2 linked regions of the Ovis aries genome follow. The protein of the gene in region 2 purifies or fractionates together with the protein of the main gene of each other region. This does not show direct contact. Links are inferred from orthologs where the notes say so. Each region holds a gene or a part of one and is shown on either strand. Other genes may lie near its edges.

Evidence for each region.
Region 1: the proteins of THEM4 (region 2) and AKT1 purify together in Homo sapiens (co-immunoprecipitation; 4 studies listed by BioGRID and IntAct, with this or other methods). This does not show direct contact. The link is inferred for Ovis aries from reciprocal best matches to the Homo sapiens genes THEM4 and AKT1.

The regions. Positions count from the first base shown.
Region 1 is NC_056071.1:66,973,559-66,989,098, forward strand, and holds the start of AKT1 (RAC-alpha serine/threonine-protein kinase), read right to left. Parts: upstream 7,692-15,540; 5' UTR 7,463-7,691; intron 4,799-7,462; 5' UTR 4,705-4,798; coding exon 4,659-4,704; intron 1-4,658. Other genes in the region: ZBTB42 (zinc finger and BTB domain-containing protein 42), read left to right, coding at 13,046-14,320. UniProt on the Homo sapiens protein: AKT1 is one of 3 closely related serine/threonine-protein kinases (AKT1, AKT2 and AKT3) called the AKT kinase, and which regulate many processes including metabolism, proliferation, cell survival, growth and angiogenesis.
Region 2 is NC_056054.1:101,864,744-101,880,283, forward strand, and holds the start of THEM4 (acyl-coenzyme A thioesterase THEM4), read right to left. Parts: upstream 9,840-15,540; 5' UTR 9,783-9,839; coding exon 9,684-9,782; intron 1-9,683. UniProt on the Homo sapiens protein: Has acyl-CoA thioesterase activity towards medium and long-chain (C14 to C18) fatty acyl-CoA substrates, and probably plays a role in mitochondrial fatty acid metabolism. Plays a role in the apoptotic process, possibly via its regulation of AKT1 activity.

The sequences.
Region 1 (15,540 bases), on a different chromosome or scaffold from region 2:
CCCAGGCTCAGGGGGCTTGGTCCTGGGCACACACCCAGCGCCCCAGGGCCCTCAGCCCCAAGGTTGGCAGGAGCAACAGCACACGTAACCAGCACCCCCATCAATTCCAACATTCCTGAGACAGGAGTGCGTTATTTCTGACGGTTAGGGAGCCGCGTGACGCAGACGAGAAAGCAGGGGGAGCATGCTGCGTGGGGCGCACACAGGCCGGAGCCGGGGCCCTCTGCCAAGCGGCCAGAGGGGGCCAGGTCTGGGCCAGGGACCTGAACGGGGGTGCACGGGCAGACGCCAAGGGCACCCACCCCGTGGGAGCAGTCACGCGAGGCCCCCGGGGCAGCTGCGGGCCACGAGCCTGGCCAGGGGGGATGCCCGCACCCCCACTGCACTTCTAGGAACTGGCCTGACGCGACCCGGCCCAGGCTGCCCCAGAGGACCACGGCGGGTGGGACGCCCTCCCCGCCCCTGTAGGGGCGCTTGCTGAGCTCCCAGGGGCCAGGGCCCTCCCCGCCCGCCAGCATGGGGCCAGGAAGCAGACAGGGGCAGCGTCTGAGTCTGGGGACCCGGGGCGGGGGCGGGGATGACCCCTCACCCCCAGCGCAAGGACGCCCAAGCTTCCTCTTTTGTTGTTTGTTTTGAAGGGAAAATTCAGCCTGCTCACAAAACAGGAAACTCGGCCCCACACCGGCCCGCGGGCCTCAGCCTCAGCCACACGCCACGGGCCCCAGGTCGCCACCACCCGCGGGCTGGAGGTGCCCCCCCCCCGAACAGCCCGCCCCCAGGCACCAGCTCCCACCCTTGGGGTTGGCTGTCTGCTCCGTGCGGCCCAAGGGGACCACCAGGGCCAAAGCCACGGACCCCGTGGCGAGATGGCCCCCGTGGCGAGATGCGGAGGGAAGCTGGGCGCGCCTCGCCGGGCCAGACACTGGAGCCCGGGGTCTCAGCTCAGCCGGGCCCGGGGCGCACAGCACAGGGGGGCAGCCCCCTCCCCTGCGGGTCCCACGAGCCCCGTGTTCTGGCCAGCAGAACCGCGGCCTCCTCGAAGAGAGCCAGGCTCACCCGCACGGCCCCACCCTGTGGGGGGGGAGTCAGGCCTGCGGTGGGTGGGAGGCTGACAGCAGGTGGGACGACCATCTCCCGGGACCAGTGCAGGGAGCAGGTGAAGCCCAGGGTGGCGGCCAGAAGCAGGAACCGGCCAGGACTGAGGCGGAGGCAGGGGAGGGGCCAGCACGGCCCAGAAGCCCACTCCCCACCAGGAGGCCTGGGAGCAGCTCAGTGAGCTGACAAGAGCCTGGACCAGGGAAAGGTCTGGGCCAGCCACTGGCTAGGGTCGGGACAGAGGCAGGCCTGAGGCGCCCCCAGGACCAGGACCAGACCCTGCCCCCTGCCCCCTGCCCCCTGCCCCGAGCCCGAGGAACACAGGGCCTCGCCAGGTGGACCTCACTGGGGGAGTGGGGGCCAGACCCAGGAAGGCTCCCAGGCAGTGAACCCCGTGCCCCCAGGCCGGCTCTCTGCCCGCCTCTCGGCCCCTGCCTGCCAGGCCGCGGCGTGGGGGCTCCTGCTGGACTGCAGGCCAAGTCCAAGCAGCCCTGCCTCCTGGAGGAGGGCTGGTTTTTCAAGCTGTCCACCTTCAAAAGTCAGAGAGCACACATAAAAGGCCAAATCTTTGCAAAGCGGCCTCCGTGAGCCTCCCTGAGCCCAGTTCCCCAGCGCCTCGGCTGGAGCTGAGAGGCAGACGCCTGCCACGCGGGGCGGCCTCCCACGGCGGGGCGTGTCTGCCCACCACTCGTGGCATCCCGCGTTGCTCAGGGAGGCCGCCGGCCTCTGGGACATCCACTCGTACTCAGGACATGCAGCTGTCTCGCAGGAGCTCTGCCCACGGTCCCTGCAGCCCCACTTGGCCCAACCTTTGTCCTTCCGAGCCTCTAGCAGCTTGGCCGCAGGCTCCCCGGGACGCCTGGGGACCCGGAGGCCTGGAGGCCGCACCTGGGTGCCGCAGGGTGGGGCGGACCCTGGCTGCCAGGCAGGTTCTCCCCTGCCCGGTCGGCTGCTCCGAGCCAGAGCACACAAGTCGGCGGTGCAGCCCCTGAAGGACGGGGGCAGGAGCCGGGCCCGGGGATCTGTCCTACACAGACCCTCGCTGCCTGCCCTTCAGCTCTCAGGCCGACACCTGCTGGCTCCTAAAGTGCCTTTGCCCTTTGCCCACGGGCCCACAGCAGCCCCCTGACCTCCATAACAAGAGGCACCGTGGGGGCACTCGGGGGTCCGTGAGGAGCTGGAGGACAGTCAGAACCCCCCCTCCAACTCAGAATCAGATCCCTGGCAGTGGGGGTGGGGAGGGGAAGGTGGAGCCCCCTGCCCACTCCCGGCCCGGGCCCCCACTCCACCCAGAGCCACCACACGGGGGGCCTTGACGTCCTCCTCCAGCCAGTCCTGAGAGGTGGGCGCAGGGCAGTGGGGGGGCACACAGGAGCGGCTCACACCGACCCCTCCCGCCCACTTTGAGGGGCTGGGCGCACACAGCCACCCACCTGCGGACCCCCAGGACGGAAACACAAGTCCCCCCCGCAGCCCAAGAAATGGCACCACCACAGCCCTCCAGCCCCGAATCGGGGTCACTCTGGATCCCCCGATCCCGGCTGTGACCTCTGCCCCTTTTGCCCTTTCACCTCAAAGCGCAGCACACAGGAAGAGCCCACACTTCGGGGAAGAACAGATTTGTGGAAGACGCACAGATTAGCGAACAAGCTGGTAGTGACACCAGGGTCCCCGGGGGGGCCGTGGGTGAGGACCCGGGCACCCCCTGCGCGCGGGCATCCCCTGCGCGCGGCACGGCCCCTCCTGGGCCACAGGGGCCAGCGTGCCCCGCCACGCCGCACACCACCCAGCGGGCATGAGAGCCAGAGGCAGGGCAGACGCAGGACCTCTGCCACGCCGCACACCACCCAGCGGGCATGAGAGCCAGAGGCAGGGCAGACGCAGGACCTCTGTCAGGCCTGAGGCTCGCTGCGCTCCGCCCAGGGTCCGGGGGCCCGCCCCCGACTGCTCCCACCGCACAGACGGGGACACAAAGGCCTGAGGACGCAACACACTTGCCCGTGGAGAAGGGCATGGCGATGGGGCGCTGCCTGGATGCCCCCGCCCCTCCAGAAGGCACACACCCCGAGTGGCCCACTCAGACTCACCCAGGCGTCAGAGGGGCGCTTCCACCCAAACCGGGCTGGCCAGTGGACACCCCAGGAGCTGGGCTGGGGGCCCCGGCAGCCCCAAGCCCCAGGCATCTCCCAGGTCAGTCCCTGGTCAGCCAGTCGACCAACGCTTGTCAAGGGCTCAGAGGCCCTGGACCCCAGTGTGTGCCTGCGCTTCCGCGAGGCGCAGAGGGGACGGCAGAGACCCAGGCAGGCTCAGGCCTGACCCCAAAGAGGGCGACGGGGTGAGGAGACAGGGCGGGACCTGGCAGGGATGGGGGGGCGGGGAGACCAGGAAAGGGTCAATGCTGGGGGAGGGGACCCAGAGGGCCAGCCGCTGCAGGAAGCCCTGGGGGGCCGGCCACGGACCACAGGCCCCTGCAGCTGCCCCACCTCCGTCTAGAGGCCAAGCACTGTGCCCCTGACCGCTGCTGGAGCGAGCTCTGAAAGCTCACACTGACCACATCCGTGACCCCTGCTTCGCGCCCCTGCTGCGCCTGGGGTCTCATCTCCACCTCTCCCGAGCTTCCCAGCCTGCTCCGCTGGGCGGCTCCTGAGCGTCCCAGAACACCCGCTCTCGCTGCAGCTCCCCAACTGCCCACCTGTGCCTGAGGTCCCCTCCCAGTGTCCTGCGGGGTCCTGAGGTGGAGAGGGGACACCGTCCCTGGAGGGCATGCATGAGGAGTGGGGGCTAGCGGCTAGCTGGTGTGGGGCGGCCAGAGCTGGAGCCGGTCTGCAGGAAGGGGAAGTTGGGGGAGCAGGTGGTGACTAACCAGCCCCCGACCTGGAGCAGGAGAGCACGCCCTGCCTGAACGCCTCGGACACCTCGACCCCAGACCTGTCCTGCCCCCCGGGCCTGTCCGGCCTCTATGGGACAGGAGGCAGCGAGGCAGCAGGGCCGCAAGGCGAGGGGCCCGGGACAAGCTCCCATCCCACCAGCTCCCCGAGAGCCCCTCCCTGGGCACATGGGCGAGCAGGGGGCAGGCCGGGCAGGGGCCAGGGCCTGGCAGCACCAGCGTGAGCCTGCGGCACGCCAGGCCCCGGGCAGTGCGGAGCCCCCTCCTGCCCACAGCCCAGCCGGGACTGGCCCCGGGCCAGGCCCGCCAGCCCTGCCCTGCCCTCAGGAGCCCTCGGGCAGTGCCCTGGGCCGCCAGCGCGCCAGGCTTTGGACAGGCCCCAGTCCTTGCTGCCTTCCAGGAAAGCGGGTGGTTCTCCCCGCCCGCAGCCTGGGCCAGGCGGCAGCTCCACGGGCTGCACACCGGCCTGGGGTGCACGTTCCCAGCCAGGAGGCCCCGCGGGGGCTTGTGTCCCCCAGGCCGCAGGGATGTCGGGCCCCGGACGTGCCCCTGGGCTGCTCCCAGGGTTCAGGGAGGCCCTGCTGGTCCAGCAGCCACAGCCCACACCGCCTCCAGCCCCTGAGGAGCCACGGGCCCAACTCGGGGCCCTGAGCCGGGCCGGCCTGCGGGCACTGACCTCGCTTGTGCAGCCAGCCCTCCTTCACGACGGCCACGTCGTCCATGCTGCTGTGGCTCCCGCGGGCCAACGCGGCCCAGACCTCACTCTCGCGCCTCTCGGCGGGGTCCACCCCGCACCCAGCGGGCCGCCGACAGCCTCTGTAGGAAGCAAAGGGAGGTATGAGGCTGTGCTGGGCCCGGGGAACACTCCTCAGGGGAACCGAAGAGGCCCGTGGCGCCCAGGGTCTCAGCTCAGGCGCATCTTCCCACGTGGCCTGTCCCCCTTAGCCTTCAGAGCTGCCGCCTCCCCACACATGGCCTTCCCACCCCGGCTCCAGATCCCAAGTCACTCACACGGCTCCCAGGGCCAGGCCTGCCCTGCCCCCAGGCTGTAAGCCCCCCCGCCACCACCCCTCCCGGACCCCAAAGCCCTCAGAGCTCACTGTCCCCGTCTCTGACCATTCCCACCTCCCCCGACCTCTGTACAAATGACCCCTGTCCCCAAAAGGCCCCGCATGGTATATCCCAGCCGCCCTAACCTGCCAACCCAGCAGAAGCCCTCTCTTCCAGGCAGTCCCCCTGACTGCTTCGGCCCACACCTCCTGGCCTCCGCAGTCCCCTGGCGAGGGTACCCAGGTCTCCCCGTCCATGGTGCTCCTGCCCCAAGGTGGGCGTTCCCGAGAAGGACCCAGGCCTCCTCCTCTCCGTCCCAGACTGGGAAGCAGAGGAGTTCCAGCATGAAGGCAGGGCCAGGCAGGCAGGCGGCTGCTGCAGACGAACTGGAGCCCTCCAGGGCAACACACGACCCCTCACAAACCCACCCCAGAGAAACCCCAGGCCCCCCCCTAAACCTCAGTGCCCCGCCGGCCTGAACCAGTTCATTCATTCGGCCAACATGGACCAGGCATCTCTGGTTTTGCCAGGCTCAGCACTGGGCACTGGGGACAAAGAGAGGTTCAGACGAGTCCTGTCTGCGAGGAGCACCCAGTCCAGGGTGGTTACAGACCCATAATTACAGCATTCAGCAGGCAACAAACCAGGGATGGGGGGACTGTGCAAACACGGAGGCCCGGCACCAGCCCTTCGGAGGCCCACCAGCAGCCTCCTCGTGAGCAGACCCTTTGGCCATTGATCCTGTGTGGCCCACCCCTCTGCTCCCCTGTTGGATGAACTCCTAGGCACCCCTCAAAACCCACTGCCCACATCACTGGTTCTGAGCATCCTGGGAAACAGCATTCTCCCCACAAGCAGTCCTCCGCTACCCTTCCAGTTGGGCACTCAGGAGGGTAGGCCTGGAAAGACTCCTCTCTGGGACCCTCAAGCTGGGCAGACACCCCTAAGTATCTCCAACATGGTATATACCTACATATACACTCTTCCTACACACACTCCCTGCACGCATCTCCCACAGCCCACCTTCCTGGGCTCCTGGAGAAAGCCACTGTGCACTGTCCATCCTGGGCTAAACCTAGAAGGGCAGGAGGACCCACGCTCTGCTTTGTGTCTGACCCCCGTCAGCGGGCCCACAGGCAGGCGTGGCAAGGAAGACTGGAGGAGGGACCACCAGGGCCTGGACTCAGAGCCAGCCTGGCTCGCACAGGGGGCTCTGGTGACACTCGAGTGGGCGTGGCCTGGAGGCAGAGGGCTGGACTCAAAGACCTCTGCACGGGTGGGCCCCCCCCCCCCCACGGGGCTGAATGGGTCTGCTGCTGACAGGGCCAAACAGCTGTGGAGAGCCCCGCGTGTAAAAATCTGTCTGCGCGCACACACAGGGCGGTGTGCCTGTGCGCAGAAAGGTGCACACCGCCGGGGCCGGGGCTGCCTCCCCTCGGGACGGGCGGCTCGAGGGGACCTCTGCTTCTGCGCTTCCGTCCTGGGAGTGCCTTCACCACGAAGGTGAGTTACTGCTATGACTGTTCAAGTCACGACCTTCCAAAAAATAATAATCTCTGCTCCGAAAGGCCCCCTCCCTCGGCCTCCAAAACACCAGTTTATACACTAGATGTTCAGCTAGGGGGCAGGGGACCAAGCCCCACCAGTGCACCCCACTCTTCATTTGAAACAGAGGCCCAGGGCAGCTAGGAGTGGCCTGAGCAAGGTGGGAGGGGGCCAGGGGTGACCGCCGGGGGGGCATCTCTGGCCCCAGAGCACAAGCCCACAACCCCAGCTCTGTCCACCAGCACTGCCAGGACCCAATCCCACCCACCAAGTTCACCAGCTGCCCCGGGATCCCCCCAACCGGGGGCAGGAGCCCCAGCCTCGGGGATGGGTGGGCAGCACTCGCGAACCCACCCAGCTCCAGAACCAGTCTCAGGGCCCAGGAAGGCTGTAGTCCTTTGTGGGAGGGCCTAGGCACCCAGCCACCACGGACAACTTTTTGTCCATGGGAAAATGAAGTCCCTTCCAAGGGCCCACCCACAAACTTGAACGAGAGCCGGGTCGAGTCTTTTCCCCGGGCCCCCGAGCACCTAGTGTGCGCCGGGACCCCGCTGGCCGGGCGCCCGGGGAGCCCTCGGCCGCCACGGACCCCCGGCCACGGACCCCGGCGAGCGGCCGCACCCCTCCGCCCCGGCCCGGGCCTCGCCCGCCGGAGCCGCTTCCCCAAGGTCATGCGGGAGGCTGGGGCCGGAGGCCCGCCGCCCCGCCGCCCGCCCGGCCCGCGCCTTCCCCGCCCAGGCCTCTCTCGGCCACTTCCTGCTCCCGCGCCTCCATTCCGGCCGCGCGCGGCCCGCGCCCCGGCCCGGGCGGCCGCGAACAAAGCGGCCCGGCCGCGGGGAGGAAATCCGGGCCCCGGCGGCGGGCGGCGGGCGGGCGGGGACTCACCGGGCGCCGCGTCCGGCGAGAGCGCGGGCCTAGCCGGGCCGCGGCCTCCGGCGCCCGCTGCTCCGCATCCCCGCGGACCGGCCGGCCGGGGCCGGGCTGGAGGCCGCGGCGGGCGCTGCTCGGGCGGGCCTCGCGCGCCGCCGGGCCCGGAGCTCGTGCGCGGCCGCCGGCTCGCTCCTCGGGATGCGCTGGCTGCGCGGCTGCGCTGGGCCGGCCGCCCGCCCGCCGCGCTCGGCCCCGCCGGCCCGCCCTCTCCCCGCCCCGCGCCCGCCCCGCCCGGCCGCCCGCCCACATCCGCCTCCGCCGCCCGGGGCGTCCCCTCCACGGGGAGCGGGAGCGCGCGGCGGGAGTCCCTGGGGCCGGGCCGGGCCGCCGGCGGAGCCCGGCCGCTCCCGCCCCTCCCCGGGGCCTGCCTCCGGGCCGCGGCCTCCCTGGCCTCGGTTTCCCAGTTTTGTCCGGCCAGCCCGCACTTCTCGGACCAGTCCGGCCTCGACCCTGTTAACAGGGCCGGCGTGGGCTGAGCCGCCTGCTTCTGACTCCCTCCGGCGGGAGCAGGGCTGGAGTGTGGGTTAGTCTGACTTTTAGAATATGCCCCAAGCTGGGGAGCTGGTGGCTCGAGGGGCCACGGTGGGCCTAACAGACCCAGTCCAAGGCCCTTTGCCTAGCGCAGGCCCCTTGGGTGGGGGGGGGGGGGGGTGCATGCAGGCGGCTGGCCGGTGGGCAGCCATCTGTCTGTGGGCTGAAGGCTTGCTTGGGTCTGGCCCTGGGCTGGGCCCTCATTCCTGGTGGGGGTCTTCCAGAAGCTCCCCTCCCCAGAAGGAACACGCAGACATCTGGCAGCTACAAAAGCGAACAGGGACCTCACGTGGGGACCAAGAAGAAAGAGGGCCCAGGGCCCGGGGTGGGGGTGGGGGCGGGGGAGGGGGTCGCCATTCAGCACACCTGGCCTGGAGGGCCCCCCTGAGTCAGTACAGACACCCAGAGGGGGTGCAGGAGGGCAGTCTCCAGAAAAGGGCTGTGACGGCTTGAGGCAGACCAGGGTCCTCCCTGATGTCCCCAGGGGCCCTGGGCACTTGTAGGGCGCTGGGGGCCAGTGAAGGGGCCAGCATGGCACTGCAGACAAGCCGCCACCCCACCCCTCCCTGGGCCCTGCTGTGCACAACCTTTTCCAACAGCTGCCCCTCCCCCCACCCCCAGGCCTCCAAGTTGACGGCGATCCCTTCACGAAAGGAAGACTTGGGGGCTCCCTTCCTGGCATTGGTGTGTATTTGGGGGGAGGAGGACATTTTTGTTCTTCCTCCAGAGTCAGAGTTTTAGCCTGGTTGGGAGGGGTGGGGTATAGACACTTCATCTGGGTCAGAGGTGGAAGCCGCTGAGCGCCCAGGACAGCGTCCGCAGCTGTCCCTCCCTCTCGGGGCTGAAAGAGAAGGACCAGGGACACTTGCTCCTCCAGGAGAGGATGAAAACCTCTAGGCCTCTGCCCTCGCCACCCCCACCCTCCCGCCCCAGCGAGCTGCCCCAGCGCTGCACCTCCACCCCCAGGCCCTCGTCTGCAGGGACCAGGGGGGAGGCCTGACCGGTCTGGGCTGCTGGGTGCCTGACAAGCACTCGCTCCCCCCAACCCTCCCCTTGGGCCCCGTCTAGGACCATCTCCCCCACCCCCGCCCACCATTCTCCCAGGAGGGCTTTCCTCCGCACCGGCGCCCCATCCTGGGCTGGCAATGCCAAGGAGAAGGCAGGGAACCCCTGGGGGCCCGAGAGGGCGCCCCCTCCTGGGCCCTGTGGTGACTTGCAGCCGTCCTCGCCATCGGAAGACAGACAGCGTCTTGGCCAGGAGTGTCTCTGTGGTGGTCAGGCCTCCTCGGCCTGGCCCGTGTCCTGGCGGTGAGCCCCACAGCCCTGCCCTGCAGCATAGCTGGGAGCCGGCCCTGCGGCTGGAGCCTCTGCGGGCAGGCCCAGCGCCCTCCTCTGGCCTCCGGAGGGTGAGCAGAGCCCCTCTCCTCTAGAACACCTCCTGCCCGCTGCCCCCCAAGCCGAATGTCGCTGCCCTGGCTGAGGCTGGGGCCGCTCAGGAGCCCCCGAGGCAGATGTTGGCCACAAAAACTGCTGCACCAGCCTCCGGGGAGGGTGGCCACCTGCCCGTCCTAGAGCTCAGGGTCCTTGCGGCCCGGTCACCTTCTGCAGCTGCCGGCCCTCGGGCAGGACTCGGGGGCCCGAGGCCCGGGCTGCCTGGTCTCTGCAGCAGCTGCAGGGCGGGGCCTTGAGGCAGCTCCCAGGCCAGATGGCTGCCTGGCTGGCCATGTCCAGCGACGTTCGGCCCCCACCGTTGCGACAGCCTCCTGCCATCCCTGTGCCTCAGGCCTCGCCAGCCACAGCGGGGACCCACAGGCCAGGCCTGCTGGCTGCCGGGTGCCCTCTCAGGTGGCCTGGGGTGGCCCCTCCCGGGCCCGAAGGAGGATGTAACTCCAGGAAGACTGGAGACCTTCGGACCAGGAAAACACAGGGGCCTCTCTCCCTGTCCCCTCCCCTGAGCGATGTCCCTCCTCCCTTAGCCACCCCTACCCAGCACACCCCCAGCCTCTCGCTGGCCACATCCCCTGCTGCCGCGTGGACCCCCTTCGTGCCCAAGACCTCTGTCTGGGCCCCAAGGAGCCCTTTGTCCCACCAGCCAGGCAGGGCAGGCCAGGACACTCTGCCCACCCCAGGGCCTTCTCTCCCGGCCTGGCTGGGGAGCTGTGTGCCCGGACTGGGCAGGTGGGCACGTCAGAGCAGTCAGGATCAGGATGGGGGCACCGTGGGCATTGGACAGACCCCTCTGCCCTGCTTTCAGTCAAGAGACACGACTACACCCCCTGCCTGTGCCATGCCAAGTCTCAGCAGCAAAGATCCAGTGGAGAGCACGGGGTGGCAAGGCCACATGACACGGGAGCTCCTTGGAGAAGGCGGAGGCCCCAAGAGGAGATCGTGGGCTTGGGGACACCTGAGTGGGAGTGATCAAGAAGACCCACTCCCAGGGGCTGCTGCTGGAGCAGAGACAGGACTGGGGAGACGTGTGTGGAACCTGAGGACTCACGAAAGGCCCCAGGGTCTTGCCGTGTGCTGGGCCCTCCAGTTAATCTCCCCCTTTTGCAGATGAGAATATTAAGGTATGGAGAGGTTAAGAGTCATGCCCAAGGTTGGAAGGGGGTAGAGGCAGGGCTGTGAGCAAGACTCCGAGAGGCAGTCCCCTCTGGGTTCACTCTGACCTGACTTGAAATCAGCTGCCCAAGCTGGGGTGGGGGCGGGGCGTGGAAGTGAAGGAAGGGGCTGGCCTCCTCAGGAAAGGGCCCCCAGGGTGCCCGGGCTCTGGGAGCCAGGGCATTCTCGCTGGCTGTGAGCACAGTGCAGGTCCAGGGTACCAAGCCAAAGACTGCTGAATTTAGGAAATAAAAATGCAAGCTGCCCGGTGAAATCTGAATTTCAGATAAACAAGTAATGGATTTTAGTATAAGAATGTGTCTTTCCTTCGCTCAGACTTGAAATCCTAACTGTGGTGGGCCCCAGGGCCTCTGCCCACCAGAGTTTAAATAGGACCCCTGGAGCCCCACCCCCACACCCCATCTCACAGCCAGGAACTCCCCCCAGGGGTCCTTGCCTCCCAAGAGCATGGGCTCCCCACCCCGTCTTGCTGCCTCTTTGCCATTGTATACCCGGCTGGCTGGGGTCCTGCCTTTGTAATGAAGCACCCCAAAACACCACCCCCACTTCTAGTCAAGGCCTGCCCACCCTCTGTCTCCCGGGGTTCTGGGCTGTACAGGTGAGAACGCAGGAGACGCTGCCAGACTTGGATCCTGGTTCAACAACTGACTGCCTGCTGTGTGGCCCTGGCGCCTTCCGAACCAAAACCAGTGTGATAATCAGAGCACCTCACTAAACCAGCAGGGCTGCTGGGACAGCTGAGCAGCGGTCCACAGCGCCTCCACCCTGCTCTGTAAAGGCAGCTGGGAAAAGACTGCCAGCCAACAGTCACCTCCCGCCCTGGGGGTCCCAGCCTCTCCAAGCTCATTGCTCTCTGCTTTTCTCAGGCTTCTTCCTTAACCCAGGACCTAGGTGTCCCTCACACCTTCGCGTGGCCTTGCTCCTGAAAGGCCAGCTCAGCCCCTTCGGGGGCGTCACCTCTCCCTGAGGACTCCCTCCTCCCCCTTCGCAGCCCGCGGCCCGGCTCTGGGCTTTCGGCGCATTTCCCTCTCTCTCCATCACCGCGATGGTCCCCTCACCCCATGACGCCTTCTGGGACCGCCACGGTCCCCAAGGCTCACAGCTCCGTGCACCTGGCTCCCATCAGAGGCCTCGCTGGGTGTGCTGAGAGGATGAGAGTGCCCAGTTTTGGAATACCAAGGCTGAGAACCCGCCCAAGCGTCTGGAAAAGGGGCCCAGCTAAATTAAATTCAATACGAGGCTTTCAAGGAAAGGGGGTGTCATCTTCTCAATATGTACGACTACCCCCGCCCCCTCCTCCATCCCAGGGCGGGCACCCCGCGAGGTGGCGGCGCGACCCGGCTGCGCCTTCGGGAGCCTGGCGCCGGCGCTGGCTGGGAGAGGAGCTGGTCCTCGGAAGGAGTCTCTTAACAGACGGGCGCAGTTGGGACCCCATGGGGGGGACCCCGAGGATGAAGCGGCAAGTATCGCGAGAGAGCCCCCTCCCCCGCCGCGTCCCGCGTCCCCTCCCACCCCAGCGCCCCAGATGGCGGCGCGCGGGGCCGGGCCGGGCGGGGCGGACGGAGAAGGGGCGGCGTGGGTGACCTCAGCGGTTCCGCCGCTCCGGGAAGTCGCCTCGGCCCGCCCCCTCCAGCCCCCGCCCCGAGTTTCGCTCTCTCCGGGGCGGGGCAAGCGGCGAGTGCTGCCGGGCCAGCCAAGTTGGAGCGCGCCCCGCCCGGCGCCCTCCCCGTCCCCGCGCCCTCCCCGCCGGGGCGCGCTGCCCGCAGCTCCGCACGCGCAGGGGCGGCACCGGGGAGGGCGCGCGGCGCGGGCCGCGGCCGGAGAGGAGCTCGGGGCGGTGGAGGTGAGCGCGAGGGGCGGGCGCCCCGCATTGCCCGCCCCGCCCGCCGGCCCGCTCCCCGCGGTCGCGCTGCCTTAAATGGGGCCCCGCGGCGGCGGCGGCGGCATCTGGCGGGCCGAGCGGCAGCTGGAGGCGGCGCGGAGGCGCGGACCAGGGGCGGCGGCGGCGGCGCGGCGACTCGGGCGTCGGGGGACGCGGCCGGCTGCCGCCCCAGAGTGAAGTTCAGGGGCGCCCGCGCGGGGAGGGGCGCCCCGGGTGGAGACGCGCGCAGGTTCGCGCGGCTCCGGCCCCCTCCGCTGGCGCCCCGGGACCCGCCCCCGCGGCGGAGCAGCTCCTGTTTACTTTCGATCGAGTTTTTCCTGCTCGGGGCAGGTGCCCAGGGAGGCTCCGGGCGGGCAGCCGCGCGCGGCGCCCCGCGCCCCTCTCCCCGCGCTGCCCGCACTCGGGAAGGGCTGGTCGGGCGGCTGGGGGGCGAGCGGCGGCCGCGGCGTCTCCAGGCGCGCTCACGGGCGTCCCGTTTGTGCCCAGGTGATGACCGCGGCGGCATGGAGTTCCCGGAGCACGGCGGGCGGCTGCTGGGCCGCCTGAGGCAGCAGCGTGAGCTGGGCTTCCTGTGCGACTGCACCGTGCTGGTGGGCGACGCGCGCTTCCCGGCCCACCGCGCCGTGCTGGCCGCGTGCAGCGTCTACTTCCATCTCTTCTACAGGGACCGGCCCGCGGGCAGCCGCGACACGGTGCGGCTCAACGGCGACATCGTCACGGCGCCTGCCTTCGGCCGTCTGCTGGACTTCATGTACGAGGGCCGCCTGGACCTGCGCAGCCTGCCCGTCGAGGACGTCCTGGCCGCCGCCAGCTACCTGCGCATGTGCGACATCGTCAGGGTCTGCAAGGGCCGGCTCCGCGAGAGGGAGCGCGCGCTGCCCCCGGAGACGCCCGCCCCTGGGGCAGGGCCCCCGGGCCGGCCCCCGGGCCCTCTGTCTGCCTGGGCCCCCGCGCCCTGTCCAGCCTCTCTGAAGGCCAGGCTCCCTCCCGCTGGACCAAAGGCCACCTGCCCCCCGCCCGCACCAGGACCTCCCCCCTGGCAGGCGTCTGGAGAGTCAGACGGGGCCCTGGACCTGTCGCTGAAGCCCGGCCCGAGGCGGCCGCCCGTCCGCCCACCCTGCGCCCTCCAGACCGCCCCCTGCCGCCAGAAGCAGCCCGGGGCCCAGCCGGTGGTGAAGGAGGAGCCAGACTCAGAGTCCGAGCGGGAGGACGGAAGCAGCAGCCCTCGGAGCGCCCACAGCCCCCTGCGGCCCCCCGGTGTTCCCGCGGCGGAGCCCCTGGCCGGGGGCTTGGGGCCGCTGCCGGTCCGCGGGGTGGGCAGGGGGGCGCCGGGGCCCGAGGCGGAGCGGGGGGAGCTGGAGGCCGCCCTGCGGCCGACCGGGCGCCTCTGCCTCTGCCCGCTGTGCGGCAAGCTGTTCCCGGGCGCCCACGTGCTACAGCCACACCTCAGCGCCCACTTCCGCGAGCGGGACGGCGGCCGCACGCGGCTCTCGCCCGACGGGGTGGCACCCACGTGCCCGCTCTGCAGGAAGACCTTCTCTTGCACGTACACGCTGAAGAGGCACGAGCGCACTCACTCGGGCGAGAAGCCCTACACGTGTGTGCAGTGCGGCAAGAGCTTCCAGTATTCGCACAACCTGAGCCGCCACGCCGTGGTGCACACACGCGAGAAGCCGCACGCCTGCCGCTGGTGCGAGCGCCGCTTCACGCAGTCAGGGGACCTCTACCGCCACGTCCGCAAGTTCCACTGTGGCCTGGTCAAGTCCCTGCTGGTGTGAAGGGCCGACGGAGGGGCCGAGGGAGTGTGAGGTCGGAAGCTCAGCAGAAGCCCCCAGGGCTGGGCCAGCCTGCAGAAGGAACCCTGCTGCCCTGGGAAAATGGCCCCAGACTTGGACGGACTGGGAGCCGCCGGGGCAGTCCTCCAGCCTTGGCCCTCCGTTCCAACTCACTCTTGTCCCTGGATCTGCCCTGACCAGACACTGAACTCCTCCGTCCAGCCTGTGAACTCCTCTCTCCAGCCTGTCCCAAGGAAGGTCCGAAGGGTCCGAAGGGCCCGGGCTCCCCAGCGAGAGGAGGCCAGCTGACCCTCCTCCCAGGCTTTCCTGACCACCCCATGAGCAGGCTCGGGGGCACCCTGTGAGCCTGGCACTGTGCTCGGTGAAGGATGCCCGCTCACAGATGCTGTCAGTGTGAGTCCCAACGGGAGCTCGGACGGAACAGACCACTCCTGGTGGGTGGCAGTGGGAACCCCTGCAGGGCGCCCTAGGCACAGTGAGCGCCAGCAGGGCCCTCAGGGCACAGCTGGTGTCCCAGGGGTGCGGCCCCAGCAGGAACCCGGGTGGCAGCAGAGCCAGCTGGGAGCAGAGGGCTGCGGAGCTCCGGGCGCTGGGGAGGGAGGCAGGCCCTCCACAGCTCTGGTTTTGCCCACACCGCAACACAGGGCGGAGAGGGGGGTTCGGAAGCATTTCTCTAGATACAGAAGGAGCCTTTGGAGGTTGCCAGATGTTGGCACGTGGTCGCTGGGCCGTGCCACTCCCCTGCCTGAGCACAGGGACCAGTATGCCTCCTGGCCGCCCCCAGGGGGCGGCCGAGCGGGGCTGGGAACGCAGCCCCCTGCCTGGAGCATTCCTGGTCAGTGGCAGGCCTGACCCTGAAGGTCATCTGTCCACCTGATGGCGGTCTCCCTGGAGCTGCTGGTCATTGCCAGAGTGCTGTAGGGGACCGAAGGCTGCAGTTTGGATCAGAGCCAGGTGGGCAGAGTTTCCTTTCCCTACGGGGCGGGGGGAGGGGAGAGTCTGGGTGAAAGCAGGCATTGCTTGGGGCGGGGTGGGGGGAAGGCATGTGGCCTCCAGGCAGCGGTCACAGGACCCCGCACGCCACTTGCGGAGGCTGATGCTCCTAAAACGCAAAAGGCTGCTGCATCTGTGCTTGGTGGAGGCACTCCGCCTCATCTGCCTGCTCCCTGAGCAGGTCTCGCTGCCGGGTCCCAGTGGGTGGG
Region 2 (15,540 bases):
TTGGAGGATAATTACTTTATAATATTGTGGTTTCTGCCCCAGATCAACATGAATCAGCCATACGTATACATATGTTCCCTCTCTCTTGAACCTCCCTTCTACTTCCCACTCCATCCCATCCCTCTAGGTTGTCACAGAGCATGGATTCAAGCTCCGTGAATCTTAGAGCAAATTCTCACTATCTATTTTACATATGATAATGTATATGTTGCAATGTTATTCTCAATTTGTCTCATCCTCTCCTTTCTCTACTGCGTCCACAAGTTTGTTCTTTATGTCTGTGTCTCCTTGGCTGCCCTGCAAATAGATTCATCAGTACCATCTTTCTAGATTCCATCTATATGTGTTATTACATATTTTTCTCTTTCTGACTTACTTCACTCTGTATAATAGGCTCTAGGTTCATCTACCTCATTAGAACTGACTCAAATACATTCCTTTTTATAGCTAAGAAATATTCCATTGTTACATGTACCACAGCTTCTTTATCCATTCATCTGTTGATGGACACCAAGGTTGCTTCCATGTCCTGATATTGTAAATGGTGCTGCAGTGAACATTAGGGTACATGTGTCTTTTTCAGTTATGGTTTTCTTCAGGGTATATGCCTGATTGCTGGGTCATATGGTAGTTTTATTCCTAGTTTTTTTAGGGAACCTCCATACTGTTCTCCATAGTGTCTGTATCAATTCACATTCCATCAACAGTGCAAGAGGGTTCCTTTTCTCTATACCCTCTCTAGCATTTACTGTTTGTAGATTTTTTTTTGATGGCCATTCTGACCAGTGAAAGGTGACACCTCATTGTAATTTTGATTTGCATTTCTTCAATAATGAGCAATGTTGAGCATCTTTTCACATGTTTATTAGCCATTTGTATGTCTTCTTTAGAAAAATATCTCTTCAGGTCTTCTGCCCACTTTTTGATTGGACTGTTTGTTTTTCTGGTATGGAGCTGCAATAGTTGTTTATATATTTTAGAGATTAATCCTTTGTCAGTTGTTTCATTTGCCATTGTTTTCTTCCATTCTGAGGGCTGTCTTTTCACCTTGTTTATAGTTTCCTTCACGGTGCAAAAGCTTTTAAGTAGGTCCCATTTATTTTTGTTTTTATTTCCATTACTCTAGGAGGTGGGTCATAGAGGATCTTGCTGTGATTTGTGTCAGACAGTGTTCTGCCTATGCTTTCCTCTAAGAGTTTTATAGTTTCTAGTCTTACATATAGGTCTTTAATTCCTTTTGAATTTATTTTTGTGTATGGTGTTAGGAAGTATTTTAATTTCAGTGTTTTACATGTAGCTGTCCAGTTTTCCCGGCACCACTTATTGAAGATATTGTCCTTTCTCAATTGTATATTCTTGCCTCCTTTGTCAAAGATAAGGTGTCTATAGGTGGGTGGATTCATTTCTGGGCTTTCTATCTTGTTCCATCGGTCTATATTTGTTTTTGTTCCAATGCCATACTGTCCTGATGTAGTTTTGTTGTATAGTTTGAAGTCAGGAAGGTTGATTGCTCCAGTTTCATTTTTCAGTCTCAGGATTACTTTGGCTATTCAGGGTCTTCTGTGTTTCCATACAAATTGTAAAATTATTTTTCCTAGTTCTGTGAAAAATATCATTGGTAGTTTGATAGAACTGCATTGAATTTATAGATTGCTTCAGGTAGCATAGTCATTTTCACAATATTGAATCTTCCAATCCAAGAACATGATATATCTCTCCATCTGTTTGTGTCATCTTTGATTTTTTTTCATCACTGTTTGTTAGTTTTCTGCATACTGATCTTTTATCTCTTTAGGTAGATTTTCCTAGATATTTTATTCTTTTAGTTGCAATGGTGAATAGGATTGTTTCCTTAATTTATCTTTCTGATTTTTCATTGTTAGTGTATAGGAATGCAAGGGAGTTCTTCTGCGTGTTAATTTTATATCCTGCGATATTACTATATTCATTGGTTAGCTCTAGTAATTTTCTGGTGGCATCCTTATGCCTTTCTATGTATAGTCTCATTTCATCTGCAAATAATAAGAGTTTTACTTCTGTTTTTTCTAACCTGGATTTCTTTTATTTCTTTTTCTTCTCTGATTGAGAAGCAGCCAGGACTTCCCAAACTATGCTGAATAATAGTAGTAAGAGTGGGCACCCTTGTCTGGTTCCTGATTTTAGAGGAAATGTTTTCAGGTTTCACTGTTGAGAATAATGTTTACTCTGGGTTTGTCATATATGGCCTTTATTATGTTGAATATTTTCCTTCCATGCCTACTTTCTGGAGAATACTTTTTTTATGATAAATGAGTGTTAAATTTTATCAAAAGCTTTCTCATCATCTGTTGAGATGATCATATGGTTTTTATCTTTTACTCTGTGAATATGATGTATCACATTGATTTGTATATACTGAAGAATCCTTGCACCCCTGGAATAAAGCCCACTTGACCATGATGTATGATCTTTTAAATGTGTTGTTCAATTCTGTTTAAAATTTTTGCATCAAAGTTCATCAACGATATTGGCTTGTAATTTTCTCTTTTGGTAGCATCTTTGTCTGATTTTGGTATCAGAGTGATGGCGGCCTCATAGAATGAGTTTAGGAGTTTCTCCTGTCTGATTTTAACTTTGAAGTCTGAGGGGATTCAGCTAAATGTAACAAACTTTTTTTGTTTTTCCCTTTTAGGGCCACACTGTATGGTATGTGGAATCTTAGTTCCCCAACCAGGGATGGAATCTATGTCCCCTGCAGTGGAAGTGTGGAATCTTAGCCACTGGACTGACAGGAAAGTCCTGCAACAAACTTTTTTGAGCCCTACTATATGATCTGGTTCTGGGCCAGGTACAGGTAACAAAGAGAGAAGACTTAGACCCAGTCCTCGAGTGCTTGTAGCCTTGAGTGTGAAAAATGCTACAACAGAAGTAGATACAGACACAGAAGAAGTGACTTTTAGGGAAAACTTCAAAAAGATGAGAACTGATATAGATGTTTTCTAAAGGATGAAAAGTTCACTAAAGAAACAACAGGCAGGCTGCTCCAAGCAAAGGCAGAGAAATACGCGCAACTGCTAGGATTTCAGCCTTTATGGCTAAAAGGTACAAAGAGAACAGTAGCAAGATGGGGATGGCAAAACAAAAGAGGGGTGACACTATAGTGGCTCTTTGGCTTTAACGAAAGCTTAGATTTCATCTTCTAGGTTAATGTTTCAAAAGGTCAATAGGAAAGACAATTTTAGGTGGCAGAACAACAATAACACGTGTATTTTTAAATGAATATTATAAAAGGACATAAATAGTGCATCACACTTTGATTTCGTGTTATTGCCTAGGATGAAGCTGTTTAAAGGAAAGGAGTCTTTAAAGATTCATGAAAAATACATGCCAACTGAGTGGCAAAGTACTTTTTTTTCCATTATGGAGTGCCTTGGGGTGTTTTAAGCAAAGCAGTAACATGAACTGAGGTTTTAGAAAGCTCCCTCTGATGTAAAGGATAAATTGTAAGGTGAGAAGCAATGGTAAGGAAACCAGTTAAAAGACTGTTGTAGAGATCCAGGGGAAATATGGTCAGAAACTGAACTAGAAAGGAATGAAAAAGATTTAAGAGATATCTAGGATATTGGGACCAAGGGTTGTAGAGACTGACTGATCATGGGGGAAGAGCAAGTAGAAGAGTTTTGGATAATTCCTGACTTGTGGTTTGAAGACTGGAGTGGACAGAGGAAAGGAAAGAGGAGGTTTTTGTTAATGTTTGTGTGAATGTCAGGAGGTGGAAAGTAGGAGCAGAACCATTAATTTTAGTTTGGGGAATGTTGAGTTTGGGACCACAGATGAACACTATGATATTGTGAGAAATAAAAATAATGAAAGTTTCAGTTCTAGGAGATGAGAACTAAGTGATACTTGGAAGTAAAGGCACCTATAAATTCACAGCACAGACTCTGTGCATGAGGGATAATCACTACTTTTTGTTGCCCTGAATAGGGGAAAGGTCTTGCTAGATGTTTGATTATGTGTGTTTCAAGCGGGGCATAAGTTACAACTTATTAATGTATCTCCTTTTAAGATTAAGTTACTGAACCAAAAGAGGCATGATTTGTAAAGCCTGTAAATACTACTGTTACAAAGCCCGTAAATATTGTTACATATTCTCAACATAGACTACCAGACACCAACATATAATTAAAGAAATGAATCTATCTTTGTTGTGAGATTAGCACAGGACATTTTTCTTTTCCAACGTATAAGATGGTGGTGTGGTTCAGTCACTAAGTCATGTCTGACTCTATGACCACATGGACTGCAACATGCCAGGCTCCTCTGTCCTCCACTATCTCCTGGAGTTTGCTCAAGTTCATGTCCACTGAGTTAGTGATGACACAGGATTAATAATGGATCTGCACTCTTTATTCTTTAAAAGTAAGTTGGCTGGGCTCTGGTTCTAAGGGAAATGCCGTAAAGCCCATGTTGTTGCCTCTGGAGAGCTTGAGGGGGTGGTTGGGCCTTGTTCTACTACAGTGGTCTGCTTGCCCATTGGGGAGCAGGGCATTGCAGCGGCTCTCTCTCAGCCTCAGTATTTGTTAAACAGAGTCCCCGGTGAGAAGAAATTTGCCAAACTGGCTGGCTTCATGGGTATCATGAATAACATTCAGAAACAGTGATCTAAATTCACTACTCAACTATAGTTGAATCTACAGTCTACCCGGGAATTTATACCCAGGGTCATCTTGAAATCATGCTGGGAGAAACTGACTGCAGAACCTTGTTGACAAGCTACATAAATACAAAGAAAACATTGTGTGATGTGATTCTTATGGTCCAGGAAAGAAAGATACCTCATGATGTTGTCCTTGGTGCAGCCAGTTAATTTTTTAAAACTTAATGCTCACAACTCACATGCTTGAATCAAAGACCTTTGAAACAGAACTCAAAGATGCTGCACCTGAGGTTATCAAATAACTTGTGGAATTTGCTTATACCATGAGAATTTCTGTGAATAGCAACAATGTTCAGTCTTTGTTAGATGCAGCAAACTAGTACCAGATTGAACCTGTGAAGAAAATTTGATTTCTTTTTTTGGCTGTGCTGGGTCTTTGTTGCTACATGTGGGCTTTCTCTAGTTGCAGCTAGTGGGGGCTACTCTTTAGCTGAGGTAAGCAGGGCTTCTCATTTAGATGGCTTCTCTTGTTGCGGAGCATGGGATCCAGGGTGCTTGGGCTTCAATAGTTGTGGCATGTGGGTTCAGAACTTGTAGCTTGTGGACTCCAGAGCATGGGCTCAGTTACCCCACGGCATGTGGAATCATCCCTGAGTAGGGGTCAAACCCATGTCCCCTTCATTGGCAGGCAGATTCTTAACCACTGGACCCCAGGGAGGTTTGTGTGTTGATTTTTTGAAAGAACAAGCTGATGCTTCAAACTGTCTCAGTTTAAGTGTACTAGCAGAGTGTCTAGACTGTCCCGAATTGAAAGCAACAGCAGATGACTTTATTCATCAGCATTTTGTTGAACTGTTTAAAACTGATGAATGTCTGCAACTTGATGCCAAGCGAGTTACACATCTCCTCACCCAGGACACTCTGACTGTGAGAGCAGAGGATCAGGCTTCCCTGATGGCTCAAACAGTAAAGAATCCACCTGCAATGCTGGAGGCCTAGGTTGGATCCCTGGGTTGGAAAGACCCCTTGGAGAAGGGCATGGCAACTCACTCCAGTATTCTTGCCTGGAGAATTCCATGGACAGAGGAGCCTGGCCTGTTACAGTCCATGGGGTCGCAAAGAGTCGGACACAACTGAGTGACTAAGCACACAGCACACAGTCTGGTGGTTAAAATACGGTGAACCTAATCGCCAGCCATTTATGGCTGACATCCTTGTTATGGGCTTCCCTGGTAGCTCAGCTGGTAAAGAATCCGCCTGCAATGCAGGAGACCCCAGTTCTATTCCTGGGTCGGGAAGATCTGCTGGGGAAGGGATAGGCTACCCACTCTAGTATTCTGGCCTGGAGAATTCCATGGACTGTACAGTCCATGGGGTTGCAAAGAGTAGGACACAACTGAGTGACTTTCACTTTTTCTTGTCAAAGTCAGGTTTCCACTTATAACAAAGAATTTAAGTAAAACAGTACAAACGGAACCACTTATTCAAGATAATCCTGAATGCCTTAAGATTGTGATAAATGGAATGAAGTATCATTTCCTGTCTCTAGAAAATTGAGAAGAACTGGCAGAAGGCAAAAGGCCCAGAAGAAGGAAACATGACTATTGGATAGCCCTATTTGGAGGCTCCCAACCAGTCTTGTAGATATTTTTCAACCCAAAGTTGAAAAGAGAAGTATGTTCTGCATAAGCCTAGGAATGAGCCTACAACTTCAAAATACTCTTTTGATGTCTTTGCTCTTATAAATGGCCCATACTTAATGCTCTTCTGTATACTCAACCCCAAGTTTTTAGACTTCTAGTGAAAAATTTAAGTAATCGAGGAAATAAATATCAATAAAAACATCCTCATTTCATCAATTATTACTTATTCCCTACAGCTAATATAATTAGAATCCTATTACAATACTAATTAATATTTCTATTAAAAGTATCACCCTTGGACTTCCCTGGTGGTACAGTGGATAAGAATCTGCCTGTCAATGCAGGGGACATGGGTTTGATCCCTGGTCCAGAAAGATCCCACATGCTGCTAAGCAACTAAGCCAGTGCGTCACAACTACTAAGCCCATGCTAGAGCCTGGGAGCCACAACTACTGAGCCTGTGTGCTGCAATGACTGAAGCCTACACACACTAGAGCCTGTGCTTCACAACAAAAGAAGCCACTGCAATGAGAAGCATGAGCTCTGCAACCAAGCGTAGCCCCCGCTCACTACAACTAGGAAAAAGCCCCAAGAAAGCCTGGGCACAGCAGCAAAGACCCCGTGCAACCAAAATAAACAAACAAACAAATAAATAAAAAGGTACCAGCCTCTCCTTTCTTTTTGCTAAAAACTTCATCTTGAAATTTTTCACTGTTTACTATGACTTGAATATTTTAATATGTTACTTGTCTTTATTATTTTTACTATTAAAATAATTGGGGAAGCTAATTTTATTGTAAATTATTATTAGTTACCTTGAATCTTCCAAGGTGAATATTATTTCATTATTCAATTCAAGTAGACTGCTTAATAATAAGTACTGTATAGCAATTGTTTCAAAATTCTTAAACTTAACATTTTCAGAGATGTTCAAATGGTTTTAACTATCATGAATGGAATCCATTTGTGTGTGTCCTATAAGGGCCTAAAATGATTATTTTCACCTATCTGATCTCCTTCAGAGAGGGCAATCTAAGCAGTACAATTTAATTTAATTATCTAGAATTAAGTCAATAGCCTTATAAACTATTATTTTTAGATATTCCTTAGATATAGCTGGCGAGAGGCAGCAAATATTTGTATTAATTGGTGAGTGGAAAATGATAAGAAAGAAAATCTTATTTTTTCTAGTAGATAAATCTTGGATTGCTATACTGAAGTGAAATGTTATTGTTCTTGTCTTTGTCCTTTCAGGAAGCCTGCTGAGTCTCCTCTCCTCCACCTGCACCTGTTTTTAAAGTTTTCATGTGCTTAAAGATAACTTAAAAATAACTAAAAGATAATTTATCTGAATCCAGTGCTCTGTTCTCTTAGTATTGGTGTTTTCAAACTGTAACATGGGAATGACTTATGATACTAATGCCTAAATGCCTAAGTTGAAAAAATAAATAAAAACAAGGTTCAACAGCTTTTAGTTCATGCTCAAAACAGAGTTGTTCCCTCCTCTATGGACCCTTAGTACTTCCCATAGTACATTTATTTAAAAATTTTGCACTTTCATTTCTTTCTCCCAAATTAGACTTGAGCTCTCTGAAAGGGTTGTTTCTTATTCATCTTTACAGCATTAGAAACCAATGTCTGGCATATTGTTAGTGCTTGATTAATATTAATTGAATATATCAATGAATCAAAACATAGGGATACAAGAACAGGCAATATTTATTTATTGAGAGTCTCTTGGTCAGCAAGGAGATTAAACCAGTCAATACTAAAGGAAATTAACCCTGAATAGTCATTAGAAGGACTGATGCTGAAGCTGAAGCTGAAGCTGCAATACTTTGGCCACCTGATGCAAAAGTCAAGTCATTGGAAAAGACCCTGATCCTGGGAAAGATTCAGGAGGAGAAGGGGGCAACAGAGTACAAGATGGTTGGATGGCATCATCAAGTCAATGGACATGAGTCTGAGCAAACCGAGAGAGATTGTGAAGGACAAGGAAGCCTGGTGTGCTACAGTCCATGGGGTCCCAAAGAGTCAGATACCACAGGGACTGAACAACAAAAACAATGGGAAAAGTACTAAGGGTACATAGAGGAGGAAACAGTTCTCCAACAGGCAATATTTATTTAGGGCATCCCTGGTGGCTCAGGGGTAAAGAAGCCAATGCAGGAGATGCAGGTCCATCCCTGGATAAGGAAGATCTGGAGAAGGAAATGGCAACTCACTCCGGTATTCTTGCCTGGGAAATCCCATGGCCAGAGGAGCCTGGCGGGCTACAGTCCATGGGGTCACAGGACTTAGAGACTTAACAACAACAATATTTATTTAATACTAACGCCAGACATTTCTTTGGAAGGAATGATGCTAAAGCTGAAACTCCAGTGCTTTGGCCACCTCATGTGAAGAGGTGACTCATTGGAAAAGACTCTGATGCTGGGAGGGATTGGGGGCAGGAGGAGAAGGGGACGACAGAGGATGAGATGGCTGGATGGCATCACTGACTCGATGGACATGGGTCTGAGTGAACTCCGGGGGTTGGTGATGGACGGGGAGGCCTGGCGTGCTGCGATTCATGGGGTTGCAAAGAGTCGGATACGACTGAGCGACTGAACTGAACTGAACTGAACTGAACACCAGACACCGCTGTTACATAGCCTTATCTCATGTAAATCTTGTATCAGGTATTAAACCTGAGGAAACTGATCCTCCTGAGGGTATAAGGTAATGGTTATTTGCCAGACTGCTTAGGTTCAGATTCCAACTCTACCACGTGTTTTCTTAAGCCCGTGACCTTCCTTAAGTCATAACCCTTCTTTATTAGTGGTAGTGGTATACTTTGACTTGCTGACGCGATTCAAGCATCCTGCACACTGCCTCAAAACCGTGTCACCCTCCTGTCGTTTCTTATGGCTTGACTTTCAAGACTGAAAGATCCGGTGACCTTGTTAATACTGATACCCTTTGGAGCTAATGTTAGCTTTCATTCTGAGGTCAGTTGGCTGAGGAAAGGGATAAACAGCTGAACATTACTCCTTATTCGGAGAAGGCAATGGCACCCCACTCCAGCACTCTTGCCTGGAAAATCCCATGGATGGAGGAGCCTGGTAGGCTGCAGTCCATGGGGGTGGCTAAGAGTCGGGCACGACTGAGCGACTTCACTTTCACTTTTCACTTTCCTGCATTGGAGAAGGAAATGGCAACCCACTCCAGTATTCTTGCCTGGAGAATCCCAGGCAGAGAGGAGCCTACTGGGCTGCTGTCTATGTGGTCGCACAGAGTCGGACACGACTGAAGTGACTTAGCAGCAGTAGCAGCAGCATACCCTTTATCACAGGCTAAGTTCCTGACGAAGAAGTTCTATCTTTCTGCCCATTTTCGCTGCCGGGCTAACCTGGACTCACCCGCGCGGGTTGCAGATCCGCCGATAGCCGGGCCGCGCCTTCCCGCCGGCCGCGCAGGGCCCAGAGCGAGCGAAGTCCCGCGGTGCAGCTCCTCAGCATGGCTCTCAGAAGCGAGGGAGCTGGCTCGCGCCGGCTGAGGTAAAAGCTGACTCACGCAGCTACCCACCCGCTGCTCTTCCTCTTTAACTGAGGCGAGGTGAGGGCGGGGCCTGGCGCGCCGGGGGGAGGGGACACGTGTCTCGGAGGGGCAGTGGGAGGGAGGGGCCTGAAGGCAGGCGCCGCGTCGGGTAAACCCTTTAGCCGTCCTGCCGCGCCTGAACCTTTTCTGGGGAAACTGTGAAGACTTGTGAAGGCCACTGGACCGAGGGGAGAGCGGCAACAGCGGCCGCGCGGCCTGGGGAGGGCGAGGACGCCAGATGTGCGGGTCCGCGGCTATGGCTCAGCCCTCAAGCCCCGGCACCTAAGCGCTGCTGGTGAGGATTCCCTGGTCTTTTCCCCATCTCTTGCTAGAGGGCCAAATTCTGGGCTGTTTCCTAATAGTTCTCCCTCCCGCCGCTGGTGGCGCTAGTGGTAAAGAGCCCGCCCGCCAATGCAGGAAACGTGAGACGCAGGTTCCATCCTTGGATTGGGAAGATCCCCTGAAGGAGGGCAAGGCAACCCACTCCAGTATTCTTGCCTGGAGAAAGAATCCCATGGGCAGAGGAGCCTGGTGGGCTACAGTCCATGGGGGCGCAAAAGAGTTGGACACGACTGAAGAGACTGGGAAAGACTAGAGATCTCTTCAAGAAAATTAGAGATACCAAGGGAACTTTTCATGCAAAGATGGGCTCGATAAAGGACAGAAATGGCATGGACCTAACAGAAGCAGAAGATATTAAGAAGAGGTGGCAAGAATACACAACAGAATTGTAAAAAAAAGATCTTCATGACCCAGATAATCACGATGGTGTGATCACTCATCTAGAGCCAGACATCCTGAATGTGAAGTCAAGTGGGCCTTAGAAAGCATCACTACGAACAAAGGTAGTGGAGGTGATGACATTCCAGTTCAGCTACTTCAAATCCTGAAAGATGATGCTGTGAAAGTGCTGCACTCAATATGCCAGCACATTTGGAAAACTCAGCAGTGGACACAGGAATGGAAAAGGTCAGTTTTCATTCCAATCTCAAAGAAAGACAATGCCAAAGAATGCTCAAACTACCGCACAATTGCACTCATCTCACATGCTAGTAAAGTAATGCTCAAAATTCTCCAAGCCAGTCTTCAGCAATACATGAACCATGAATTCCTGATGTTCAAGCTGGTTTTAAAAAAGGCAAGAGGAACCAGAGATCAAGTTGCCAACATCCGCTGGATCATGGAAAAAGCAAGAGATTTCCAGAAAAACATCTATTTCTGCTTTATTGACTATGCCAAAGCCTTTGACTGTGTGGATCACAATAAACTGTGGAAAATTCTGAGAGAGATGGGAATACCAGACCACCTGACCTGCCTCTTGAGAAATCTGTATGCAGGTCAAGAAGCAACAGTTAGAAGTGGACATGGAACAACAGACTGGTTTCAAATAGGAAAAGGAGTACGTAAAGGCTGCATATTGTCACCCTGCTTATTTAACTTATATGCAGAATACATCATGAGAAACGCTGGACTGGAAGAAACACAAGCTGGAATCAAGATTGCTGGGAGAAATATCAATAACCTCAGATATGCAGATGACACCACCCTTATGGCAGAAAGTGAAGAACTAAAAAGCCTCTTGATGAAAGTGAAAGTGGAGAGTGAAAAAGTTGGCTTAAAGCTCAACATTCAGAAAACGAAGATCATGGCATCTGGTCCCATCACTTCATGGGAAATAGATGGGGAAACAGTAGAAACAGTGTCAGACTTTATTTTTGGGGGCTCCAAAATCACTGCAGATGGTGACTGCAGCCATGAAATTAAGAGAAGCTTACTCCTTGGAAGAAAAGTTATGACCAACCTAGATAGCATGTTCAAAAGCAGAGACATTACTTTGCCGACTAAGGTCCATCTAGTCAAGGCTATGGTTTTTCCAGTGGTCATGTATGGATGTGAGAGTTGAACTGTGAAGAAAGCTGAGCGCCAAAGAATTGATGCTTTTGAACTGTGGTGTTGGAGAAGACTCTTGAGAGTCCCTTGGACTGCAGGGAGATCCAACCAGTTCATTCTGAAGGAGATCAACCCTGGGATTTCTTTGGAAGGAATGATGCTAAAGCTGAAACTCCAATACTTTGGCCACCTCATGCGAAGAGTTGACTCACTGGAAAAGACTCTGATGCTGGGAGGGATTGGGGGCAGGAGGAGAAGGGGATGACAGAGGATGAGATGGCTGGATGGCATCACTGACTCAATGGACATGAGTCTGAGTGAATTCCGGGAGTTGGTGATGGACAGGGAGGCCTGGCGTGCTGTGATTCATGGGGTCGCAGAGAGTCGGACATGACTGAGAGACTGAACTGAACTGAACTGAACTGAAGAGACTTAGCACTGCACTGCCGGCAGCTGACTTAAGCCCTCAGGCGGGTAGGAGTGCACACAGAAGATTGTAGGAATAGAATATTTTTCTTGGAGACCACCCCCCCTGCCCCCCACACACACCCCTGCACACACATCTTTAAGGGAGCAGAGCTATTAAAGTCTTTAAGTCTGACTTTTTCAAAAATAGAAGTTGTAGCAACACCTGAAGGATGCAGTCACCTCTTAGCTCTGGAGACATGACTGAGCTCCAGTCCAGGGCACCACCTAACACCGCGGGTGGGTTTGTGCTTAGTGACTCAGTCTTATCTGACTCCTTGTGACCCCTGAAGACTGTTGCCTGCCGGGCCCCTCTGTTCATGAAATTTTCCAGGCAAGAATACTGGAGTGGGTTGCCATTTCCTCCTCCAGGGGATCTTCTTGACCCAGGGATCCAGCTGGGTCTCCTGTGTCCCCTGTATTACAGGTGGATTCTTTACCCACTAAGCCAAGGGAGGAGCCCTGTAACACTGTATGCTTTTAAACTGTACCTGTCCTCTTATTTCTTCATTGTTGTATTAAAAAGAATATATCAAATTTTACTTGTCACCAGGAACTTCTCTTTCAGTAGGAGTCACTTAATTAGAAGTTATTTGAGGTTACCTTGTATCTTGCTCGCAAAGAAAATGACCCCAGGCTAGTAATGTGTTGAAATGGGGCTTGTACAGACTCGTTAAAATGGTAAGAATTTGGCTAGCCAGTTCTCAAACACTTCCATTATTTAAAATGTAAGTTATATAAACTTACAGTTAATAAGTTATATTTTAAAAATGAAAGTATTGTTATAACACCCCTGAGTCAGTCCCCAATAAAGGTTCTTCTGCCTGGTATCTTGGAGCCAGTAGGAGATCAAGTCTGGTTCAGAATCAAAGGAAATAAAAAAAGGAGGTGTGAGCTCCAGCTCTAGAGTACTTGGGTCTTCCTCATAGGCGTTTGGCCTGGCTGCTTCATAGGGTTCTTGTCAGCAGGGAGGGGGCGAGTTCTTGGCAAGCACCTCCCGCAACTTTTGCAGCTCAGGCTTTCAGAAGGCGATGTGGGGGAGGGGCAGCATACCTCCCCTGGGCCTGATAGCTATCTTGAATTGCAATATTGCTTGCAGCGCTTCTAAATATGGTTCCTGGAAAAAAAAAAAAAAATATGGTTCCTGGAGCTGAGGTGTGAGGGGCACAGCCTTTTTGCACTAGGAACTCTGGTCTGAAGGGCCTGGTGTAAAATCTCTGCAGAGGGGCACTGTGTGAGCAACTGAAACTAGACTAAGCACAAAGGAAAAGAGAAAGGTTAGATTTTATTTTACTACCCAGATTTTATTTCCTGGGAATTGTTTGTGGGCTTCGCTGGTGACAGTATTAGATACTAAAAACTGTTTATGTTCTTGAAGTATATTTCATCACTGATTACAGTTTTAAGTGAAAGTTGATTGCCTTTTCATAGCCACAAATAATTATAAGTGCTGTTTTAATTCTGGTGTACAAAACTAAATATTTCTTTAGGAATATAATGAAATACCAACAATAGTTTGATTTATGCTTTGTAATAAATTATTAGTTCTTTTAGAATGTAAAAAAAAATGCTTAATTATTTTTATTATATTTTGCTGTTGTATGTGCTCTTGAGGTTATTTATCTCTGTCACATTTGTATGGTGGGAATACTAGGCACCCCTTCCAAATATTGCATTTGGTCACATCACAGTGGTGGCTTAAAACTGACTGACTGGGAGTATTCATTCAGATACTGCAACTGAGGGCTTTCCTTTCTTACCTTATTAAATATTCACCAATATACCACAGTCTTAGTTTTAAGTCTTAAGGGTTACTAGAATTGCTTACCCCCAGAACATCCGTACACAAAGTTTTTCTGCCAACACAGCTCTGTAACTACTCACACAGTAAAGGTGGGACTGGAGGAATCATCAGGAGAGATTTATCGGAGATAAACAAACTTGGCTTTGGGTTTGGGTCTAAGTTCAGAGATCCTCAGTCTACTTTTTTTTGTGAGCAATTAGTATTTTTATTTAAAATATCTTTATATAAAAATCAGATATTTTGCTTGATTGGGGCTTCTCAGGTGGCTCAGTGATAAAGAATCTGCCTGCCAATGCAGGAGACTAGGGTTCAGTCCCTGGGTTGTGACGATCCCCTGAAGGAAATGACAACCCACTCCGGTATTCTTGCCTGGGAAATCCCATGGTCAGAGGAGCCAGGCGGGCTACAGTCCATGGGGTCACAAAAGAGCTGAACATGACTGAGTGACTTAACAACAACAGTTTTCCTTGATTATATGAACTTCTCCATCAGTTTGTCAGTAGGAAAGAAAGCTCAGTACTTTAAACCCACAACATTAACTGGGGGGTAAAGGTATACCATTCTGAGACAGACAGAATTTGAGAAATGAAGTGTGCAAGAATGACTCAGACTGAAGATGATTTGGCATAAGAGGTGGCTGTTGATGTTCTGTAATTTTAGCAGTTTGCCTAAGTTGTCTCCTTTCCAATACAGTACTCCAGTTTCCTGGGGGCATGGATGGTGCCAAATTGTCCTGTTAATTGTAGTACTTCTTTTAACAACCCACACAAATTGTTTCAATACTTGTTTGGCAGCAAGAGCCCAAAGTATCCTATTGTCTTTCCGCGTGGTGCGTGCAGAAAGTGGCACATTATAAATCAAATCCATACATCAAGATGACTTCTGTTAATAAATAAGAAGATAGTTTATACAGATAACTTAAAAGTGTATATATGTAAAAATTACAATGTAGTTCAGTTCAGTCGCTCAGTCGTGTCTGACTTTTTTCTACCTCATGAATCGCAGCACACCAGGCCTCCCTGTCCATCACCAACTCCCGGAGTTCACTCAAACTCACATCCATCGAGTCAGTGATGCCATCCAGCCATCTCATCTTCTGTTGTGCTCTCTTCCTCCTGCCCCCAATCCCTCCCAGCATCAGTCTTTTCCAATGAGTCAACTCTTTGCATGAGGTGGTCAAAGTATTGGAGTTTTGGCTTTAGCATCATTCCTTGCAAAGAACACCCAGGGCTGATCTCCTTCAGAAGGGACTGGTTGGATCTCCTTGCAGTCCAAGGGACTCTCAAGAGTCTTCTCCAACACCACACTTCAAAAGCATCAATTCTTAGGTGCTCAGCTTTCTTCACAGTCCAACTCTCGTATCCATACATGACCACTGGAAAAACCATAGTCTTGACTAGGCAGACCTTTGTTGGCAAAGTAATGTCTCTGCTTTTCAATATGCTATCTCTGTTGGTCATAACTTTTCTTCCAAGAAGTAAGTGTCTTTTAATTGCATGGCTGCAGTCACCATCTGCAGT